3 linked regions of the Yarrowia lipolytica genome follow. The protein of the gene in region 3 interacts with the protein of the main gene of each other region in a pairwise test. Links are inferred from orthologs where the notes say so. Each region holds a gene or a part of one and is shown on either strand. Other genes may lie near its edges. The genes, in order: YALI1_D21031g, YALI1_B11916g and YALI1_A02083g.

The links.
Region 1: the proteins of YALI1_A02083g (region 3) and YALI1_D21031g interact in binary tests that used the Saccharomyces cerevisiae proteins (3 or more experiments, as listed by UniProt). The link is inferred for Yarrowia lipolytica from reciprocal best matches to the Saccharomyces cerevisiae genes GIM3 and YKE2.
Region 2: the proteins of YALI1_A02083g (region 3) and YALI1_B11916g interact in binary tests that used the Saccharomyces cerevisiae proteins (3 or more experiments, as listed by UniProt). The link is inferred for Yarrowia lipolytica from reciprocal best matches to the Saccharomyces cerevisiae genes GIM3 and PAC10.

What each region holds. Positions count from the first base shown.
Region 1 is NC_090773.1:2,101,963-2,106,701, forward strand, and holds YALI1_D21031g (uncharacterized protein), read right to left. Parts: upstream 2,282-4,739; coding exon 2,224-2,281; intron 1,583-2,223; coding exon 1,326-1,582; intron 1,147-1,325; coding exon 1,105-1,146; downstream 1-1,104. Other genes in the region: YALI1_D21022g (uncharacterized protein), read right to left, coding at 1-217; YALI1_D21023g (uncharacterized protein), read left to right, coding at 406-609, 692-777, 883-928, 974-1,087; YALI1_D21044g (uncharacterized protein), read left to right, coding at 2,466-2,471, 3,006-3,827; YALI1_D21076g (uncharacterized protein), read right to left, coding at 4,139-4,739. UniProt on the Saccharomyces cerevisiae protein: Binds specifically to cytosolic chaperonin (c-CPN) and transfers target proteins to it. Binds to nascent polypeptide chain and promotes folding in an environment in which there are many competing pathways for nonnative proteins.
Region 2 is NC_090771.1:1,190,195-1,194,089, forward strand, and holds YALI1_B11916g (uncharacterized protein), read right to left. Parts: upstream 1,421-3,895; coding exon 854-1,420; downstream 1-853. Other genes in the region: YALI1_B11934g (60S ribosomal protein eL18), read left to right, coding at 3,247-3,358, 3,658-3,895. UniProt on the Saccharomyces cerevisiae protein: Binds specifically to cytosolic chaperonin (c-CPN) and transfers target proteins to it. Binds to nascent polypeptide chain and promotes folding in an environment in which there are many competing pathways for nonnative proteins.
Region 3 is NC_090770.1:206,880-211,418, forward strand, and holds YALI1_A02083g (uncharacterized protein), read right to left. Parts: upstream 2,044-4,539; coding exon 2,035-2,043; intron 1,454-2,034; coding exon 1,070-1,453; downstream 1-1,069. Other genes in the region: YALI1_A02075g (uncharacterized protein), read right to left, coding at 1-646; YALI1_A02096g (uncharacterized protein), read left to right, coding at 2,750-4,030; YALI1_A02113g (uncharacterized protein), read right to left, coding at 4,130-4,468, 4,523-4,539. UniProt on the Saccharomyces cerevisiae protein: Binds specifically to cytosolic chaperonin (c-CPN) and transfers target proteins to it. Binds to nascent polypeptide chain and promotes folding in an environment in which there are many competing pathways for nonnative proteins.

The sequences.
Region 1 (4,739 bases), on a different chromosome or scaffold from region 3:
CATCAACAAGCAGCGACGAGTTATGCAAAATCTTGGTGATGTGCGAAATGGTCTCGAGATCGCTCTTGTCCACCTTGATAACCGCTCCGAACGCTGCGATCAAGTGTTCTCTGATGTTGTGGCCCCGGTTGTTGGCGAGGTAGTTGTACGGTCCCAGCAGCGCGGTGTCGGCGGCCTTGCCCCATATCTCCTTGAAATCCGCGCTGTTATAATCCATGAGATTTGCCACCCAACGTCGTTGGCTGTGGTGGTGGTGGTGGTTGCGAATCAAGGTTGAAATTAAATACGTGTTTTATTTCGCACATTAATAAACTTTGAGATAAGAGATGATATCAGCTGGGACAATACCGCCCACACTTCAAGTGCCGTACCAGTGCCACAAGGACAACCCACTCTTACACATACATGTCAATCACCAAATCCGAACTCGAAAACCTGCGGGACAAGTCGCTCAGCGCACGTGACTTCTCTTACTCGCCCTACTCAAAGTTCCGAGTCGGAGCTGTGCTGCTGACCGAGTCTGGAGAATGGATCCAGGGCGCCAATGTGGAGAACGCCAGTTACGGAGGTGCTATTTGCGCCGAAAGAGTGGCCATCACCAGGGCTATTGTGAGTACACCACACAGAGGATGCAGTGTCAGCATGGGCACGGGGAGATCAAGTGATGGTGCCTACTTGCCTACTAACACAGATGGAGGGACACAAGAAGTTCAAGGCTATTGGAGTGGCTTCGGACCTTTCTGTGGTCTGCTCCCCATGCGGTATTTGTCGACAGTTGTGAGTATAAACCTGTCTTGTCTTAGGAGCCGTGTTTTAGTCTGACGTTCGAAATCGCACCAGAGCCTACAGCTACGCCTTCAGTGGTTGTCCGTACTAACGCAGCATCAGAGAATGGTCTACCGACATTCCCATCTATCTCTTCACCAAGGTGAGTATACACTGTCATCATTCTATCAATTGATTGCTAACCCAGGACGGAAAGTACACGATGCAAACCATCAAGGAGCTGCTGCCTCTGAGCTTTGGCCCCGAGCATCTCGATACTGAAAAGGTCGAAGCCGAAACCGAGACGCTATTGGAGGTCTAGACTTGCACCACGTCTGACTATGACGGGGGAGCCTGGAGCTTGGCTCGCAGGGCCAGGAGCTGTGTTAGTAAGTAAGCAGGACGGGCAAACGCCGACACGCCACTTCCTGGCATTTAGTGCATATGTAAATAACAGAAAACATGAAGTAAACCAGTGCGCCTTGTGCATCTTATGCATCTTGTGCGCCATATTTGACAGTCATTTCCCCACCAGAACAGTATCGCCTTTCTCAACTCACCTGATCTCTCTTGTCCTCAGCCTGCTTTTGCAAACTTGCAACCTCCTCCTCCACGGTGGAGATCTGGCCGCGGATGAACTCCAGTCGCTTCTCCACGTTGCTCTTGGCTTCGTCGATAGACTGGGGCACCAGCACGGGGCCGGTCAGCTTGTAGACCTTGGCGTTGTCCTTGACGGACTTGAACTCATCCTCAACAATGAGGTTTTCCTGTAGTTGGGCCTCGAGCTTTTGCCGGGACTCAATGTGTTTTTGCATGGCTGGGTTAGTACGCACGGCAGTGGCCGGGGCCGGAAGTAGAGGGGGTTGGGGATCGGCTTCGGCTTCGGCTTCGGGGTGCTGGTAGAAGAGAGATAGCACGTCGGGGTTTTAGAAGGCATCTATCTAGAAGAGATGAATCCCCGCAAGACCATAGAATACCACAGAACATGAGAAACTGACCTGGGTCTTCTCTCGCATATACCGCTAGCAACCGGCTAGGACGTCAGCCTAGAGAATGCACCTTTCAGTACCACCCACTTGATGTCGACAAATCTGTTGCAAAAGGATGGCTATTAATCCGAAACAACGTTCAACTGATTGTATCGGCTCAGTCGGCTCATTCGGACGAGCCAGGGTCTCAGCTGGACGTCTTCAGGTCCTTCAGTCCTTCCGTTGGTGGTCATAAAACTGATTTGACACCCCAGTGCTACCCAGTTATCACCTGATATCGGTCACAGCAACACGCATGGACCTGTTAGGGCCAATTGGGATCGTGTAATTGCAGCTTTCGCCTAATCTCTCCATTGTCAGCCCATTTTCACCGCAATTCAGCCATCTCTTCTCCGTCGGATCCAACACCTGGTGAGCCTCCATCCCCGTTCATGTTCCCGTGCTGCTGCCAGCTTCGCACACTACTCACATTGCTGGACAACCTCAAACTCGCCGGAGAGCTGCTCAAACTTTTTCTGGTCTTCCATCTTGTCTGTTGGTGTTGTGTTGTGGTGATCTGTCGTTTGGTCAGCCTGGCGATTTGACTGCCTACAATTTCGACAAAGTTCGAGACCTCGCATCTTTGGAGGCGAGTTTATCGAGACCCTAGCGCCACCCTCTCCAGCACACCAACGCTGCCAGAAACGGTACCAAAGACGGAAATACAACACAATGCAAGTGAGTACAGGAGCCTGGAGGCCGTTGAACAACAGTGGTTGCCATTGAGTGGTTGGACGGCGGTTTCTGACCGGTATCGACTGGATCATACCCAAGAAGGCGAGATGAGATGAGATGAGATGAGGGTTGGCCGACATTATTCAACCATTGCATGTTATCCGACACTATCCAACCATGACATGTTACCTGTTCATTCTTGAATGAGCTACTCACTCGGGCGAATGAATCCGGTTCACGTCATGTCTCTTGGTGATTGATGCTATGCTACTACGTCAGAGTGTCATGATAGTGATGTCTCGCATGTCCAGACGTTGATTCCACTCTGCGGTGACGACCACGAACACGGGTTTTAACAGCTTCTGCTTTGCTGATCTTGAAAGACCGTCTTTTTAGTGCCATTTATGTTGTTGTGTGGACTTGTTCCATAACATATCACCGAAATGATCTGGTTGTGCTCTCAGATTACAATTGCGTGACTTGGGATAACAGATCCATGACCTCACTTCCTGTTCCTTTCATTCATTTCTAACCCAGCTCAAACCATGGCTCCAAGTCAACTCTCCCCGACACATTATCGAGGAGGGACATGAAGAAGGATTTGAAGACGGCCAGGAAGCGTCGCCCTACACGAAATCCGTGCTCTTCGCCAACTCTCTCACTCATCCAACCTCGCCACAGACTCTTCTCGTGTCCACAGCAAAACTCTTTCCTGTAGTGGAAGCTCTTTTCACTCAGAAATCGAAACCCATCAATCTCGGCGAGATTGTCGGCGAGATTCAGCTCAAAAAGAATGCCCAGAGCGCAGAAAACAGACGCAAGTTTACCACCGACTTTTTGGAGGAGGAAGACGAGGAGGACGAGCTGGAGGATGTCACTAAAGAGCTGATCACCTCCCACAAGGTAATCCTATCGCCAGTTCAGTATGGAGATGTGGTTCTAGTGGAAATCAAGCAGGATGAGCTTCTTCTGGCACATGGGTTTGCTCAACAGTTGGTTGATCTAATCAAACCCTGCCAAGCGCTCATTCTTGCACCTGGTAACACCATTGCTGACGTTCATGTGCACCAGCTGGATGTGGGTAAGTCGAATCTCGTCCCCCTGGCTTCCACACCTCTGCTGCAGTCTCCAAACTTCATATCTGGACTAGGAGCCGCCGTTCTCACCCGATGTCAGCAGTCACAGGTGCCTGCCACAGCACTAGTGGTCCAGAATGTGGGCACTCAGTCGTTCGAGCGATACCAGAGTGACACGTTCGAGGACCTGACTGGAATTCTCGCCGGAGTTTTCGGGCTCGACGCAGCAAAGGCGTTGAAGGAGTTGAGAGCAGATGATGGCGTTGCTGGACTGTACCTGTAGGAGGTCATGACTGCGTTGCAGAGGCGGTTTCGATGCGTCCACAACACAATTAGTATATTTGTCTTAGTATTGTACCTGATAAGGGCTCAGTGAACTTGTATGAGAATACCGCCTATGAAAACAGGCACAGCTGTAGTGCCTGAGACATGTCAGATACTTGTAGGTGTTATCACATTTCTCAGATTCCAGTCTTGTGGCAGTCTTCCCTCATTCTACGGTCGCAAAATCACATCATCTGGCAACCCTCACTGCATGCCAGATGTATGCAACTTTGCATCTTCACTTGTATTATCCGTTAAATATATACTACATTAATCCTTCTTTGACTTCTTCTTCTTAGGAGTCTCATCACCGCCCAAGCTCTTTCGCTTCTTGTCCTTCTTTTCCTTCTTGTCCTTCTTGTCCTTCTTCTCAGACTTGTCCTTCTTTTCCTTCTTTTCCTTCTTGTCCTTCTTTTCCTTCTTCTCCTTCTTGTCGGAATCGTCATCCATCTCAACGTCAGAGTCCTCATCGACCTCAACGTCGCCCATGTTGGCCAGAACCTCGTCCATGGCGTTCTTCATGGCATCGACGTTCTTGGTGGGGGCAACTCCGGTATCGTAGAAGGTGAGTCGCTCCTCGACCTGCTGCTTGAGGGCCTTTCCGAAGATGGAAGTGGGCACATCGGAGTAGTTGTCGATTCGAGATGCAATGGAACACTTGTTGGCGAGGAATCGGGAGATTCGGCCCTTGTTCTTGAGACCGGCCTTGCCGATGAAAGAAGAGTGGTAGATCAGACCGTATTTAGGGGTGTTTCCCTTGGTCTTAAGAGCTCGGAACAGAGCCTTCTCGGCACCGAGAATCTGGACAGTAGAGGCAGGGTACTTGGACAGGTTGGTAAGAGAACCGGCGTGAGAGATGAGTCGGGCACCA
Region 2 (3,895 bases), on a different chromosome or scaffold from region 3:
AGAAATGAACCAAGTATTCAGAAGGAGAACAAAATAACCGGTTCCCAATTTTTGGAGCAATTGGAGCCTTTCTGGGGACGATCTGATGTGGTATGTTGTAGGCTATAGATCAAGTGTTAGTTGGGAACTAGTTGGGGGTTAGTTTAGAACAGGCAAAACTAGCAGTTTCTCCAACTCTCCTTTTTTTCCTCACAAAGGTCGGGGGTTTTCTCCACATTATATCCAGCAGACAGACAAGGTGGATGGTATCGTTTTTACGGTGCGCCCACATCTTTCTGAAGAGCAGGTGATACGTTGTTCTCTTCGATTTTGCTGAGGAGTTCGGGCATGTATACATGGAAGAGAAGACTACATGTTCCTGAGATGTACAGAAGCTTCAAGACAAGTAATAATCGACCTATGAAAGACACAAGAATTGCTATCATTAACGATTGATCTCAATTGATCCAGAAGAGTTCTCAGGCCTTCACTTCTTTAGCTGTACGCGGAGCTATAGACAATCTACAGGAACTGTCATGACAAGTTACAATTGGAAAACAAGTAGATCCATCGGCTCAGAATCAAACAGAGATCCCAATTGCGGTTTCAAACCAGCTTTGATGATACACGTACAATCTTTGGAGATATCTACTCTTGAGTACATACAAGTAGCACCCTATCAGGTTATACAAACGTGGAAGTCAGAGACAAGTGTACCTACAACACAAGTCGATGATTTCTTGTCCAAAACAAAAACGGATGCCGCAGTGATATTCGCCCCAGCCCAGACATTCCGCTGATATCTTCCGATTTTGTTCACCCCCCAAAAAAATTCCACCCATTCTCAAGATTGACATTCATTTCATACCATCACCTACTTGTTTTCCGCTCGCTCCGCCTCCTCACGCTCCTTCTTACGTCGGTTTACGTCCCAGTTGTGCACACGGGCAATGTTCACCTCAACGGTGGTGATGTTTTCTCTCAGAAACAGCACATCTTCCTCGGCGGTGTCGTAGCCTCTCTTGGCACCCTCCAACCGCTCACTCAGCAGCTGCTTGGCCTCGGCAACATCGTACTCCAGCATCACGTTGGCGCCCAGCCACAGATAGACAGACTGAATGCCGCTCGCCTCGATCTTGGCTTCTGTGTACAGCGTGTCGTTGAGCTCGTAGTTGGTCACCACGTCTTCGCCGGCCGAACCCTTGAGCTGCAGAAACTCCACCATCTCCAGCGACTTTTGGATGTCCGGAATCTTCTCCTTGAGCCCGGCCTGCCGCTGTAAAGTCGTCATTTCCATATACTTGTACTTTTGCAGCATTTCCTGGAATTTGTCGAGCGATTCCTTGACGCCCGACTTGCTCACAAACTCGGCCACATTGTCGACGAAGGGGGCCCGGGGAATGCCGCGGGGGTTTGTGTCAGGTTCAGAGGACGCAGACATTGTGTGTGAGTGATTGTGTAACTGGAGTGATCTGTAGTGTGCGATCTGTGATGTGGTGATCTGCAGGCGGAAGTTTAGGGAGTTGGTGCAGTCAGTTTGAAGAGTAGTTCCACAAGTCACAATTTTGTATGAAAATGGGCTATGATTATTACACCATTGGAATAGCTGCAAATTTACTGATGGAAAGATACATGTTCCACAACATTTTTCTTGCGAAAACAACCATAGAGGACAACAAAGCACCGCCCTAACTCATGTACTAAGTGTGTATACCTTTACTTGAACTTAGTTAAGATACTTAGTTAGACGTTACGACGACATTACCCACATCCTCAAGCGTTCTATGGTGACTGGAAAATACCAAAAGATCAAAGAAAACCAGAAAAGAAAACTGTTTTTCATTGACCTGAAAAAAATCCAATCAAGTAATGTGAGAATTTCAATCTCTTCTGTTCTGCACCAGTACAATAAATCAAACCGTCAAAACCTGTCCAACTGAGAAGATAACTGAATCAGAAACAGTTAATTTACTCATATAATTGCAACCTATAAAAAAATCTGTGATTAATATCCATGCACTCCCCCAATATTGCGATATTTGGATCCGCTCGTTCCTCAGTGCAGACGCGCTGAGTGTTGAAAAGACACCAAAGAAGACACCAAAGAAGACACCAAAGAAGGACTTTGCCAGAAACCCGTTGAGATTGCTCAGTTAACAAATTGTTGGTGAGTTCATTTACTATCGGATCAACATTGGTTGTTTTTTTGATAAAGAACCACGAGGACTTCATGGAGTAAACATCATTTGCTGACTAAAGTATACATTCAAGTTAGATGGAGTCCTCCAGCAAAATAGATTGTAAGGAGACATTTGTTAGTTGCCACGTGACGGATGGAATGGTTATTATTCAAAATCTCTGATCGGGTGATTACCCGTGGTGATAGAAGTGGTGTGTGTAGTTGTCACTTCAAAGTGAAAACTCCAAGATAGAATCCGAAATTGGGCTCGGAAAGAGGAAGAGAAATCCCTGGATGAACTCAGCAGAGGGTTTTAACCGCAATTATCTTCTTTCACTTCTCTCCACCGTGTCTCTTCAGCCACTTGTAGACATGTCTCCATTCCAACTACACCTCAACCAATATCCTAACGATCTCAATCTTTTTGTTAATCAGAATCATTCCAGCCACCCCAACAAATTACTTGACCTGACAACCAAATCCGAAACGGAGAAAATAAATCCTCAAATCACAAAATCATATAACACAAAACCACCAAAAACCCCATTGCTTTTCCTAATCCGTCTTTTACCCCTTGCTACCTCTTCGAGATGACTTTGGAGCTTGCCCAATTTTTTTTTATGTTAGTCTAAACCCTAAAAATAAACACCTTGCCAAATTGGGATTTCCGAATAGCCGTCAGTTTAGCCAAAGTGAGTGCAGCAAATAGATGCACCACTTCGAATCGAACCGACGGTGATTAACAAACTCAAATAAGGTTTTGATTATTAATTTTGTCATTTTTTTTAGGGTAAAAAGGAACAATGACAGTAAACGATATTATGGCATATCGAGACCCAGAGTGATATAACCAATTTCTCTGCGATATTCCTAGACCCTCAAATAACCCACAACATCCCCTCTACGCCCATTCTCACATGACTTTCACAACATGTTGGAGGAGGGTCCCAATTTCGCCAATCTGGTTAAGGTTTGTCCCAATTTGTAATTCACGTGACGTGACTGCTCTTTCAAATTTTCAGTTGGGACTCCTCCCAAGTATCTTAATTTCTCTCTGCAGTCTCTTCATCTTCGACAAATCATTCACCATGGGAAAAGACTCTTTCACCAAGAAGCACCAGAAGCATTCTAACCGAACTGCTCCCAAGTCCGAGAACGTCTACCTGACCCTCCTGGTCAAGCTGTACCGATTCCTGGCCCGTGAGTGCGAGTGAGGACGTGTTATTAATGACATTGTCCAAGCACAGAAATGTGCGGAGCGTGAGCACTACGGAGAGGTTGAGAGTGGGTCTATGCATGTGCTGTGCGGTGGCATCTACCGTACTATTACAAGTATGGTACTTGTGTATGGCACAGTTGCGTTGCCCGAACTCCCTCGACATGCCACGTAGAGTGGTGCCAGAATCAAGACCCATCTTGTTTTGGGATTCTATTGATACGGCATCACAGTCGAATTTTGACATTCGGCCTTTTATTTCGTTTTCTTTTTACTAACTCAGGACGAACTGACTCCAAGTTCAACAAGCGGGTTCTCAAGGGTCTTTTCCTCTCCAAGGTCAACCGACCCCCCGTCTCCACTGGCAAGATTGTCGAGAACCTCAAGGTCAAGGGCAATGCTGACAAGATCGTTGTTGTTGTCGGCACCGTGACTGACGATCCCCGACTCGTCGAGTTCCCCAAGACCACCGTCGCTGCCCTCCGATTCACCGGCACTGCCCGAGCTCGAATCGTCAAGGC
Region 3 (4,539 bases):
CTGACCAAGGAGTCACAATGAAGAACTGCCTGCTGTGACCATCTTCCTTTAGAAACGTCTTGGCGAGAGCTCCTTCCTCTGGAAAAAAGGGAACGTGGTTGTAATCCACGGCTACCAATCTCTTAGCAGCGACCTTTGAAGTCAATAATGCGGACTCTCTGTTGATCTCAGCTGTGGTTATTGTATCGAGATTGGTATCCTCCTCTATTTTGACCTTGGCCGTACCACCAATAGTATCAGTACTTGGATCAGCACCTTCCCCGACAGAGGTATCAGTTGTGTGGCCTAAGGCGAATTTGGACACTTTGTGCTCGGCAATGATAGATGTATCTTTCTCCTGCTGCTTGGTCCTCATGGTGCCTAGCGGTGGTTCTCCAGTCACATTCTCGGACCCTCGATCAAATGCACCCAATTCTTCCACGTGAGTCTCAATGAGCCCGGTCTTTGACAGTTTCTCCAAGTCCAACCGTTTTTCCCTCCTGCTGCTCCTCTTCACCACTTTTCCTGCTCCTGCTCCTTGGTCATCAGACTTGATCCACAAAACTCGTCTTCTTTCCGCTGCCATAAAAAGCTCTTGGGTCGTGAGTTTTGGCGCGTGTCGGGATTTTGGAGACATTGGAGTCGATTTCAGCCGTATTTGTGCCATTTCAGCATGTTTCGGAAGTTGATAATCGGTGTCAAAAGCTCGTGGGGCCCAACATGAGGTTCAGTTCGGCTGTATTCTGCATTTCCGATGCGGCATGTGCATGATTTGACTGAGGCTCATGTGGGGTAAAATTGAAAAAAAAAAAATAGAAAAAATAGAAAATTAAAAAATAGAAAAACTAGAAAATTAAAAATTAAAAAAATTAGAAAAATTAGAAGAAAAAAAAGAAGAAAAAAATGACTACATTAATCTACTTATCCTATTAATAACATGATTATTTCAATCCTCCTCCACCACGTCGATGACAGCCACATCCAGCCGAATCCAGCCGTATCCAGCCTTTTCAGCCTCATGTAATTCCACAATCTACACAACCCACAATCAACCATCTATCAAATACATCATCCAACTATCCCCTGGAGCCTATCTCTCAAGAGAAATGGAGTTGCCAAACTTGGCATACAAATGCTTCTTGAGCTCCTCCATCTCGTCTCGAATCTCGGCCATCCTGCTCTGGGTCTTGTCGAGCTTGGCGTCCACTTCCTCCTGCTGCTTCTCTAGTCGCACCATGGCTTCACTCTGGGGAATGTCCACAAAGGCGTCGCCAATCTTGAACTTGACGGTCTCGTCCTCGTCCATCAGCTCCATCTCCATGATCAGATCGTCCAGGTACTCTTTGCTGGTCGACGACTCCTTCTCATCGTCCTCAAGATGGTCCATCTGGGTGTTGAGAGAAGAGAAGCGGTTAATTCGGTCCTGGTCCTCCCTCAGAACTTCCACGTCCTTGACCTCGGTTCCTTCGTCGAGCTGGGTTAGTACTGGATGGATTCGCCAGCAGACTCAGATAAGTGTAAACGAGCCCTTAACTGCGCACGATTACCAGTGGTTCAGGCATACAGCCAAACGGGTCGAACGCAGATGGATTTCTGGTTTCTGGTAAGTCAGCGATCAACATGGACACGGCAAGCAGATGTACCCCGGCTAATACATCAATTTGTGGCCTCCATCTCGATCTGTTCCTTTCTGCGGTCCCAGTTGCAATTATGGGCACATCTGACTTCATTACAGGATGATCAATCGATCTCAACCACATCTCTCAGCTCTACGGTACTCGGTGAGGTCGTATCCCTGGTTGGCTGTTGGTATGCTTGAATTTGTATACCACCTAGTCTCATACCACGGAGATTCAATTTTAAACAACCAACCAGACCTTCACTCATAATTGCCCTCCTCTCAAGATCAGATCAAAGACCAATCACGGATGTGTCACTGATTGCCACACCGCCCCAGCAACTGGCGATGGTCCATTCTGAACCGCATCTGCATTGTAACAACAAATTCTGTCCGCAAATGCGTCTCTAAAACCTCCTGTCCAGCCCATTACTCACCATTCGCATTGTGTGTAGTTGTGTGTTGGTCAGTGCACTCCTGGATTGTGTGTTCAGGCGTGCATCATCTTGCTTATGTAAGTGAACTCTACGAGGAGGATGGGTCGCCAGTTCGAACCCGGTCAGGTGGTATTTCAAGGAAATAACCGCAAATCGCGAATCGGACGAGTTATACCATCTTCCTCGACCTCGTCAATCGGATCTGGTGGATCGCATGATTTGATCACGTGACGTTATATCCCCCCTTCTTAGACTTCCTAAATGATGTTTATGTATCAAGTCCAGATTGGATTTCTCCAGTACGTACTTGTAGTGTTATTTGGCTTAAAAACAGTCGATTTTGTCCAGAAAAACCAATCATGAAAATTTGCAGGCAGATTTGAGCTGACTTCTCTGTTTCCAGCTCTTCAGCGCCATTTCAAGTCTTCCAGAATGTTCTCTGTTTTGGTCGTTATTTTCATCTCAACTTTAAATCACCACTGAAAAAAAAAAAATCGTGATTTTTCATTATTTTAGAGTTCCCCATAATTTCAAGTTTCACCGTACACATCAGAACAACATCATATTTCCGTCATATTCCGTCATATTTCCAACATATTTCTTCTAAAGATTGGAAATTGCAAAAAAATCAGACCAAATTAGTCGAAAATATCGTTCCAAGTCGAAAGACCGGCCTAAGATACCCACTTTTGCGCAATACCCAACATCCCCAGTCATGCCTTTGAACACCCTCACAAAACTTCCCAGACTCGCTCTGGCGGTCAGCGGAGGGTCCGACTCAATGGCACTGGCCTACATGATATCACAAACACCCGGTTTGAGCGAGAAAACCACAGCATACACCGTGGATCACGGGGTACGGAGTGAATCGTCTTCGGAGGCCCAAAACGTTCACGAAATCGTCTCTAGACTAGGTATAAACCATCGGATTCTCAAATTGGACGCTTTGAACGACACAAAAGAACTTTCAATGCGACAGGCGCGTTATTCGAAACTCATTGCGGCCATGAATGATGACGGAGTTTCTACAGTCGTCACGGCACATACCCAAGACGATTGTATAGAGACATTCGTGGTACGTATGCTTAGAGGAAGTGGATTATTTGGACTTGCAGGAATCCAGCCACGAGTCTCGTTTAATCCTTATACCTGGGGAGGAGGTGGTATTGCGCTGAAACAGCATTCAAGGACGGAATTGGCGTCTGGATGGAAGCTAATGAGACCGTTACTGGGTCTAACAAAGTCCCATTTACGAAATGTGCTTGTTAAGAACAACATCCCCTGGTTCGAAGACCCTACCAACCAAAACGTGGAGATTGCAGAACGAAACCTGGTGAGAAAGATGTATTACGAGTACCCGGAACTGATTCCGGAGGAGTTCCAGGCATCCAATGTATTGAGACTGCTGGAGAAGCTCAATGGGTATCGGATAAAGTGCGAAACGGAGGCTTCCGAGGTATCTTCCAGATTGCTAGCTGCTTCTCAATCGCCAGATGGAACTATTACTCTCTCTGAGGAACAAGTGAAAGGGGTTCTGACCAAACTGCCACATGATACGCTTCAACTAGTATTGAGAAACATTCTTTCTCCGCTATCTCCGTTGCCAGATCTGTCTCTAAGGCTGCACAGACTGCGAGGCTTGACTGGACGGTTTGAAGCAGGCAACAAGTTCAACCTTGCCGGAGTCGACTTCTCCCTCAGAAACGACAAATGGCAGCTGTCGCGCGAGGTGCCTCGACGACCTTCCGATCACGTGGTCCAGCTAACTCCCGGTCGTGTGAGTCTCTGGGATAACCGGTTCTTTGTTGTTTCCGACCTCCCAAAGGCCACGGTCCAGTTTATCGACTGGGACAGTCATCGAGAGCTGTTCAAGAGCAAGGAGGAGCTGAACAAGGCGCGAGATCAGGCGAGAAAGAGAAACCCCATCCTGGTTTACGAGGGTGGATATTCTTTTCCTGCTTTACAACGAGGTGTTTTGAATACAATGCCCAAGTGAGTGTACAGCACGATATGGGGAGTGCGAGGCAGCCCGGCGAGCCTCGAGGATCTTTCGAGCGTCTCAAGTTTTGTTTATTCATCAGCTGATCAGATTTCATCACCACTGGGGAAGTATGAGCTCAGAAATGGCTATAACGTTCCAGTAGCGTGATGGCAAACACAGCTCAACGACATGGCCGACATGAACGACATGCCCGACATGGCCGACACATATCATCATGCCCGCCGAATACAGCTTTGGAAACAAGAAGCCATGCACTGCAGAGCAGTTTTTGAAAACAAAATCAGCAAGCTCTATGGCGAGTGCACACTTGAAAACGTTGAAAGATTCAATTTCGCATTCGAGGGTCCAATGAAAGCTCCGATGGATGGTTTGACGTATTCTTGAAGTTTTATGAAGCTCAACTTCTATTTTTGGCGTTAACGAGGGAGTTGACTATGCCTGTTCGATACCGACTGCGGCAAGAGATCAACACCGAAGAAGTTCTACTCGGGAAGGGGGGTTAC